2 linked regions of the Danio rerio genome follow. The main gene of each other region encodes a partner of the protein of the gene in region 2 in a complex. Links are inferred from orthologs where the notes say so. Each region holds a gene or a part of one and is shown on either strand. Other genes may lie near its edges.

Region 1 (4,544 bases), on a different chromosome or scaffold from region 2:
TTTTGTTGGTGTCTTCTCCCTGTTTGCTGTTTCTAAAGTCTAAGGACATTTAATATCCTCTATCTTTATATACAAATAATGATATAGCTTACAACTACATGTAAACTTAAATGAACACTTCTTTTGAAATTAGGCTCATTTTAAGTTTGCTTGAGTTAAACTGATGAAGTTGACCATTTTTAAATCTATTCCGCCGATCTTCAGGTCTGGCTGCAGCACTTTTAGTGGAGCTTAGCATAGATCATTGAATCGGATTAGACCATTAGCATCTCGCTCAAAAATGAGTTTAGATAAGTTTTCTATTTAAAGCTTGACTCTTCTGCATTTACATTGAATATTAAAAAGGACAATGAAAAGTTGCTATTTTCAAGGCCAATATGGCTAGTATCTATACTCTTTTTTGAAGTAATACGCAAGGAATTTTGCTGCTGTATGATGGCTGCAGAAGGAACAGTAAAATTAAGCAGATGCTAACTGGTGGTGCAGATGTAGGTCTTGGTTCTTGGGGTTTTTCTCAGGCACTTTTTTAAAGCATTGGGGTCAAAAAATCCTAGAGGGACTTGCTAGCATTCATAGTAAATTTTCTGTCATGTCAGTATGATTTCAGTAGCCATAAGCATTGATCTGTAAGTCGCAGAGACTGTTTTTAAGAAATGCATCATTGCTTTTAAAATGTTTTAACACATCTGTATTACATTTTTATTTAAGGGTTAGTCCCTTATTTATCAGGGGTCGCCACAGCAGAATGAACCACCAACTATTTCGACATATGTTTATAGCGCATGTCTTTGGACTGTGGGGGAAACCAGAGCACCCTGAGGAAACCCACACAAACACAGGGAGAACATAACAGCTGCACACAGAAATGGCCCAGCTGGGACTCGAACCAGTGGTCTTCTTGCTGTGAGGCGACTGTGCTAAACACTGTGCCACAGTGCCACCTTTACATGTTTATTCATTTACTTTTCGGCTTAGTCTCTTTATTACCCAGGGGTCGCCACTGTGGAATAAACTGCAAACTTATCCAGCATATGTTTTACGCAACAGATGCCATTCCAACTGCAACCCAGTACTGGGAAACATCCATACACACTCATTAACACAAATTCACTACGGACAATTTAGCTTACCTAATTCACCTATAGCGTATGTCTTTGGACCTGGGGGGGAAACTGTAGCACCCAGAGGAAACCCACGCCAACATGAGGAGAACATGCAAACTCCACACAGAAATGCCAACTGACTCAGCCGAGTCTCGAACCAGCGTCCTTCTTGCTGTGAGGTGACAGCGCTACTCACTGCGCCTTGTGTCTATGCAGGTAAATGTGCATTTGGTAGAGCCACACTTTATTTAAAATACATGTGAAAACTGTCATAAGATGAACTTGTGTATTCATGCATACTGAGTCAGTTTGCCACTAATATTGTTCTGTAAACAGAAAAAATTTCCAAGTCACTTTAAAAAACATCTCGAGAGCATGTAAGAAATATTTAACCAAGGGTTTTATGTCTCTGAGATATTTGGCATTGTGAAACCAATGATCCATTCAGAGCTGGAGTAAAAGCAGCAAAACTGCTGACACAAACTTCCTCAGGATGAGAGTCACATGGCAAGGTCAAAATACAATTCAGTGAAAGAGAAACGTCTACAACACTGACAGCGTCTACATTAACGAGGTGAGACTGCTATTTATTATTTTTTATGCTGAACAAACACTGTATATACTGGTTAAATATAATTTCAACTGATTATGGTGCTAATTACTTTGCTTTACTAAAGCGAGACACTGCAGGTAAAAAAAAGTTTTTTTTTCTCTGTAATGTAAAGAAAACATCTAAAATACGCAGAATAGGCTCAATCTAAAAACGTAGATATATTTACATTTCTGAAGATCGCAAATTATGTAGCCAGAGCTACGTATAGCTGCATTTCATCTTTAAAATGAATGCTACAGGGGCGGTATGATGGCGTTCCTTTACACGCTTGGCAGCTAACCTCCATGTGGACAGCTTTTACACTGTTACCAGTTTGTCCAGTGGCTCGACACGTACATCGGCCGACTTGAGACACAGAGAGGAGTTAACCGTGACTACCAAGTTCTAGTCTGGTGAAGAAAGGTTCCAGAAAGCAGGTAAGAGAAAAACAGAAGCCAAAAAATAAAATAACAGGTGGAGAATGTGGTAAAATCGTGGTAAAAAACGTGGTAAAAACCAGGCGAGGGCTTTTCTTTTTCTGGATTGCTTTTGAAAATTAATGGTTGGGTTTAGGGAAGTGGGTGGGTAAGTCAATCTGTGCTTTTTAAAACACTATTGGTTGGGATTAGGGAAGGAGGAGGGTGGGTGAGTTGATCGGTCAGTCAGTCAGTAATATAGTCAGTCAGTCGACAGCAGCATCTGGTGGATTTACGCAAGAACAGCAGGTGCGCGAGAGAAATTTAAGATATGAATAACCATACACAGCGACCTCTGGTGGATTTGCAAAAACAAAAACTGCAACAAAAAAAAACTTAGCTCCAGGGATGTGTTTGGCTCTCTCCAGAAATATGTAAAAAGGTAAATAATCAAAATGAGCCTGGGTTGAAAATATATATTAAAGTGCTACTTTATCGTCTTGTGTTGTTGAAATTCAATTACTTTACACATTTTTAAAAGAAATTAAAACAGCAAATTAAAGCACATTTAATTAAATAATCCTTACTTGCATATTCAGACATAATTTAGAAAACTAGTAACGCCAAAAAAATTAGCAATTCTTATGACATTCAGCTCTGTTAATATAACTGATTGGTTTTCAATTTCAAGGTTTCCATAAAATATTTTACCCAAAAATGAAAATTCTCAAGTGTTTAAGCCTACATATGTTTCTTTATTTTGAATATTATAAAGAATGTTGGGTTGGCACAGTGGCTCAATGGTTAGCACTGTCACTTCACCGCAAGAAGGTCGCTGGTTCGAGTCCCAGCTGGGCCAGGGGACATTTCTGTTAGGAGTTTGCATTTTCTCCCAGTGTTCACATGGGTTTCCCCCGGGTGCTCCCTACAGTCTACAGACATGGGCTTTAAGTTGATAAACTAAATTGGCCATAGTGTATGAGTGTGTATGTATATGGGTGTTTTCCACTACTGGGTTACAGCTGAAAGGGCATCTGCTGCCTAAAACATATGCCGAAATAGTTGGCAGTTCATTCAGCTGTAGCAACCTCTGAAACAGACTGAGCCGAAGGAAAATAAATGAATAAATGAAGAATGTTTGAAACTGGTGCATTCACCTCCATGGTAGAAAAAAAAACAAATACTATTAAAGGATATCTTCTTTTATGTTCAACAAAAAAATAAAACACTTTTACCTCTCACTTGTTTCTTAAAAGTGAATTTAGAAAACTTTCATTCATTTTCTTTTCAGCATAGTCACTTTATTAATCAGGGATTGCCAGAGAAGAATGAACCACCAACTTCATTCATTAATTTTCTTTTCGGCTTAGTCCCTTTCCTAATCAGGGAACGCCGCAGCAGAATTAACCAACAACTTATCCAGCATATGTTTTATACAGCTGATGTTCTTCTAGCTGCAACCAATCACTGGGAAACACCTATACACTCTTATTCAAACACATACACTATGGCCATTTTAGCTCATTTAATTCACCTATAGCAAATGTCTTTGGACTGTGGTGGACACCGGAGCACCCTGAGGAAACCAACACGGGGAGAACATGCAAACTCCACACAGAAATGCCAACTAATCCAGCCGAGGCTCGAACCTTCTTGTTGTGAGGTGACACCATCACACCGCCTTAGTTTAGAAAACTTGTAATACAAAAAATGAGTTACTCTTAATCCAATGAAGGGAACTAGTGATAACTACTTTTGCCCTTTTCATTTGGAGTGTACCTGTTTTTATTTATTTTTTTGCTTCCAGCACACAGAGAGCTGAACTAATGAAGGCTGTTTCCTATCTCCACCCAATTTTTCCTCTATTTTTAGGTGTACTTCTGCATCTGAGAACTACAGTAAATGAACAGTAAATAACCATGCAGGTCTTTACTCCAGCGCTAGTCTTTCAAAGAACGCCCTCAGGCAAAGGCAGAGACAAATTCAGCATTCAGTGTCTGGAGTGTTTCGGTAAAAACCTCTACATCGGGACCAAAGAGGGAGCCGTTGAGTACCTCACTGTAAACAACCCAAGCTCTCAACAAAGCCTTACAGTTCGGGAGGTGGGAAAGAGGCAGATGGGTCGAAGCGGAGCAATCATCAAATTAACAGCCATCCCGGTTCTCAATCACCTCTTGGTTCTTTGGGACGGTTCGATTACAGTGCTAAACATGTTCTCCCTTGAAGCCCTCCCAGCTCTGAAGAAAATCCCCAACGTTTTACTCTTTGCTGTCAGTGAGTCAGGGATTCAGAGAGATTCAGCGGAGCTCATCGTGGCCTCGAGCAGGAGGAAAACAGTAAGCGTTTATAAGGTGCATGTGGACAGATGGGAGTGTGTGAAACAGGTGGTTCTGCCGCAGGAACCTGTGCTTCTGGCTGCGCTCGGCACGTGTC
Region 2 (4,469 bases):
ATAATTTATTTTAAAAAGTCATGAAGCTCCATGAACTAATATGAACATGAACATTAATAAACTAATAATAACCAAGGTTAATATGGGCCATTAAGTACATTTGTTAAATGTAATACATTAAATAATGTTAACAAATGTGATCTTATTTTAATGTTACAAAAATATTTAATGAACAAAAATTTTAAAAAATGCTGTTTGTTCAAATCAAGCTGAAACAACACAATTATTCTTTTTTTTTTTTTTTTTGGAGACAGTTTAATTGTTTTATGTTCAATCCACTTAAATCTTTAGAATTTAATAAGTTAACCTAATTCCCTCATGTTGTCCCAATTCAAATGTATTTTTTACAGTGTAGTCATCAAATACACAACATATTTAAGCACAGCTTATGTAGTACAGCATTGTTGGAATTGTGGATGAAGTATTATTCCTCTTACCGCAGCAGATACTATCTGAGCTGAGATGCCCTTCAGCACATTGCGTCTAAGAACAGATCCATGCACTGTAGCATTAGTTTCCACTGCTTTCCTCCTCCTGAGGGGAACACACAGAATAATAACTCAAAAGAAAATACTTCTTTAACAGCAGAACAAAAACCACAACAGGGCAAGAACAACAATATAAAGGAAGTGCGCATTCCTCTTTAAATGCGTTCGGTCTCCACTGTCAGAGCTGGCCAAAGAAGAGGTCTCACACGAGTGGGCATCAATGTTCTCTGTGTTCAAAAGACATGTGTCCTCTAAAATGAATGGCTCATCCTCATCTTCAGGCTGAAATAAATCAAAGAGCATTGACAAATGAATAGATAGTGTGCTAAAATAAATTTAAGGCACTCCTACTTGCAAAAACATGATTTTGTTATCACTAGTTTTGGGTGTTTGTCTTCTGTTTGGTAAGTCTTACTTAAATTCTAAACTTAGTATTGTGTGTCTGAAAACTCAGTCTTAAGATAAATAACTTGTGATTATATATCTTCTTTTAAAGAATCTTAAATTTGTGAATGCATGTAATGTCTGGTAAATTCAAAGACCTTCAAATACAGCATGTTAAAATATTAAAAAGAACAAAGTTGTACAAATTTATAAAAAAATTTAAATTATTTAACGAAAAAATTATAAACCATTTTAAATTAAATATATATAAAAATATATAAATAAATATATTTTAACACTAAACAAAATATTTTATTTGTTCCAAATATATTTGACTTTCTTTCTCTTGTTCTGAAGAATGTTAAAAGTAAAACAGCCATTGACTTCCATAGAATATTTTGTTGCTACTGTGGATGTTAATAACACTTTTTTCCCAATATTCCTCAGAATAACTTTCTTTGTATTCAACAGGAGAAAGAGTTTGGCAACAAGTGAATGATGAGTAAATGGTAACACAATTTACATCTCTTCCTTGAATAATGTTACAGTTTTCGTAAGGGATGCTCCAATTAGTCAGCCACAGTTTGCTATCATTACTCAATCGGTACTTGCTGATCTGGCTGATATCATGAACCGATTGCAAGGGTTTGTGTTAGTTGGGGACGAGCAAAATATTAGAATGACCTTGCATGTATTCAGGCCTTTTTACATAAAACACTGAATGTTTTGTGTTTTTGACAATATTGCAATTTCACTAAAACCTGGCTGGAAAATTACATAAATAAAACTTTTTTTTTTTTTTTTTTTACATAAAGATTTAATAATATAACTTCTTGTAATATACTTACTGCAATAAACAGTACTTTATAGGTCTATTTTAGTAAAGAAGTAAGGGATGTGTGCATTTGAACTTCTTATGCATTAAATATGCAATTTGAAAAATGTTTTCATATTGCTTTGTTTGTCATTTTTCTGACCAATTTTTTTAGATTTTATCTATTATTTTCTGTAAATCTTCTTTTGACCATGACATGTTCACACCTAAATGGCTATAAGAGAAATGTTTAAGGGGTAATTTGCAACATCCTTAATTTTTTTTTAACTTGGGTAAGAAGATATCTCCACTTAAGTAACATACGTAGAGGAAAAATGTGCTTTATGCATTGCCAATCACTATGACAAAGAATCAGTACTTGGTATCGGCTGCAAAAATCCTGATTGGAGCATCCCTAGTTTTTGTGGGGGTTTTTAATTTAGCATATCATTTTATTTGGAGGTAAACAATCCCTTTAATTTCTTCACAAATTATTTTAAACATTTGATTGGAAAAGTGGATAATATTACATTAGGGTTTTTTTATAAAATCTTGGTCTATCCATAATTCCCATAAACCCATTTACATGTGTCACTTGGTTTCATAACTGTCTCTACATATAGTTATGAAACGTTGAAAAGAGCATAAAGGTGCGTTCTAACCTTCGACTGGTGAATCTGCACATCTAATATCTTGAGGGTGCTGATAGGGAACAATAAAAAAAACAGACAGTCTGATACTGACCTCATTAAGGATGCTTTCTAGGGTCGGAGGTGTGTCCACTTGAGGGATGTCAAACTCTTTATCGTCAATCTACAATGTAAATGCATGTTTACTATTAAAACGCACATGTATCAAAGAACAGAGCTATAAAGAAGTGCAGAGGATTCTTACCATACATACAATATAATAACAATAATACATTACAAAAACATATAACGGTTATGCACAAAACAATCACGACCTCAGTGACAAACGTAAAAGAAAGAAGCATAAATAAAGCGCACCTATCTAATAACCTGTAAATAAGCAAACCAATTATAACAAAAATTAACACAATCATAGACACTGAATCATCTTAACGTTAACGTTAGTCAATCTCAGACGTACCGCCTCTATTTCCATTAAATTGAGCTGTGACGACGCAGAAACAAGACTCCGACAGTCTGGAGACTCAGCCATTGTACTGTCAAAGATCAGCTCTTGGATAAAATATCATCAAGTTATATCTTTATCAGCTGTAGTCAAAATGCACTACAGCAACAGACTACATCCTAGTTGTTGTCGGAAAAGGCGGGACTTCACGGCATACGTAATCATTCAACTTCCTGTTTATAAAAAGTCGTGTCTTTAAAAACATATCCGGCTAACTTGTTTGGATTTTTTTTATACATAAGCAAAAAATGCATGGCTTCAATTTTCTTTTACATTTTACATTTTCTTTTACATTTTCTGATTGAAGTTGACTCACTGCTCAAATCTTTCTGTATGTGTAAAACAAAAAATGTGTCAGATTCCTGGTTCTATATAAAGAGCTGTTGTCTATTGACTCTGATTAGAACGCTTTCCTAATGCTCTTAATTTATTTTCATACACTTTTATACAATTGTAAATTACTCACCCCTTCCTTTGTTTTGTTAATCTTTTTTTTTTTTTCTTTCTGCTGCTAATGTAATTTGTATTTTTCTCAATTTTATGTCGATCTCCTGATTGTGGTTGTATATTTGCATTCTTTAATAAAAAATAAAAATAAAAAGTTGTGTCTTTAATAAAAATGTTATTACCATCGTATGATATCAGTAGAGTTTCTTCTTACTACCTGTCTTTCTTGAGTGGTAATTTTAATTTAGTAAACTTAAAAATACATAAAAAACACCAAATTCCCTGTATTATCAATATTATTATTATTCATTTATTCATTAATTTTCTTTTCGGCTGAGTCCCTTTATTATTCTGGGGTCGCAATTAACCACAAATTTATCCAGCATATGTTTTACGCAGCGAATGCTCTTTCAGTTGCAACCCATTACTGGGAAACCCATACACAGTCATTCGCATACATACATACATGAACCAGCAACCTTCTTGTTGTGAGGCGACAGGACTACATAATGCGCCGCAATTATTATTATTATTCTCACTTATAAATTATTTAATTCACTTATAAATTAATTAATTCTATAAAATAAGCCTTCACTTAACTCCATCATCATTGTAATTTAATATAAATCTGAACAGAAAGGCAATACAATAGAAATAGAAATGCAGTTTTTTTTAAATTATGCCGTTTTCTTTAAAACACGTTATTATTATTATTATTATTATTATTATTATTATTATTAATATTGTTGTTGTTGTTGTTGTTATCATTTTCATTATCATTATCATTATCATATATTATTATTATACTGTTTGTTTGTTTTTTTTATTTATTTAATTATTTAAGTTGTATACAAGATAAATATGCAATCATTTATATCACAGATTTTATAAATTGATGTATGTGTATATGCTGAACATTTCCAACCAAATGTATAAATCTTTCAATAGGATATTCACATTTTATCATAAAATATGTAAGCAAAATTACAAAAGAAAGAAAGAAAGAAAATTAACAAGAGCAAATAAACATAACAATTACTGTAGAGAAGAGAAGTTTAGTTCTTGGAGTAGGCCCGTATTTACAGTTTTGATTGCTTTAAGTGTTTTTAAATAAAGTTTGACAGCAGCTTTTAAGTGGAAGATATTAGCCTTCCTCTCTGACCATTTACACTTGTGTATAT

Evidence for each region.
Region 1: vps8 (region 2) and si:ch211-266g18.9 share a complex: the UniProt entries of both Homo sapiens proteins name them as parts of the putative class C core vacuole/endosome tethering (CORVET) complex. The link is inferred for Danio rerio from reciprocal best matches to the Homo sapiens genes VPS8 and TGFBRAP1.

The regions. Positions count from the first base shown.
Region 1 is NC_133192.1:16,857,663-16,862,206, reverse strand, and holds the start of si:ch211-266g18.9 (transforming growth factor-beta receptor-associated protein 1), read left to right. Parts: upstream 1-1,630; 5' UTR 1,631-1,677; intron 1,678-1,955; 5' UTR 1,956-2,132; intron 2,133-3,983; 5' UTR 3,984-4,030; coding exon 4,031-4,544. UniProt on the Homo sapiens protein: Plays a role in the TGF-beta/activin signaling pathway. It associates with inactive heteromeric TGF-beta and activin receptor complexes, mainly through the type II receptor, and is released upon activation of signaling.
Region 2 is NC_133176.1:33,661,843-33,666,311, reverse strand, and holds the start of vps8 (vacuolar protein sorting-associated protein 8 homolog), read right to left. Parts: upstream 2,973-4,469; 5' UTR 2,869-2,972; coding exon 2,797-2,868; intron 2,500-2,796; coding exon 2,431-2,499; intron 771-2,430; coding exon 634-770; intron 535-633; coding exon of another isoform or gene 529-534; coding exon 438-528; intron 1-437. UniProt on the Homo sapiens protein: Plays a role in vesicle-mediated protein trafficking of the endocytic membrane transport pathway.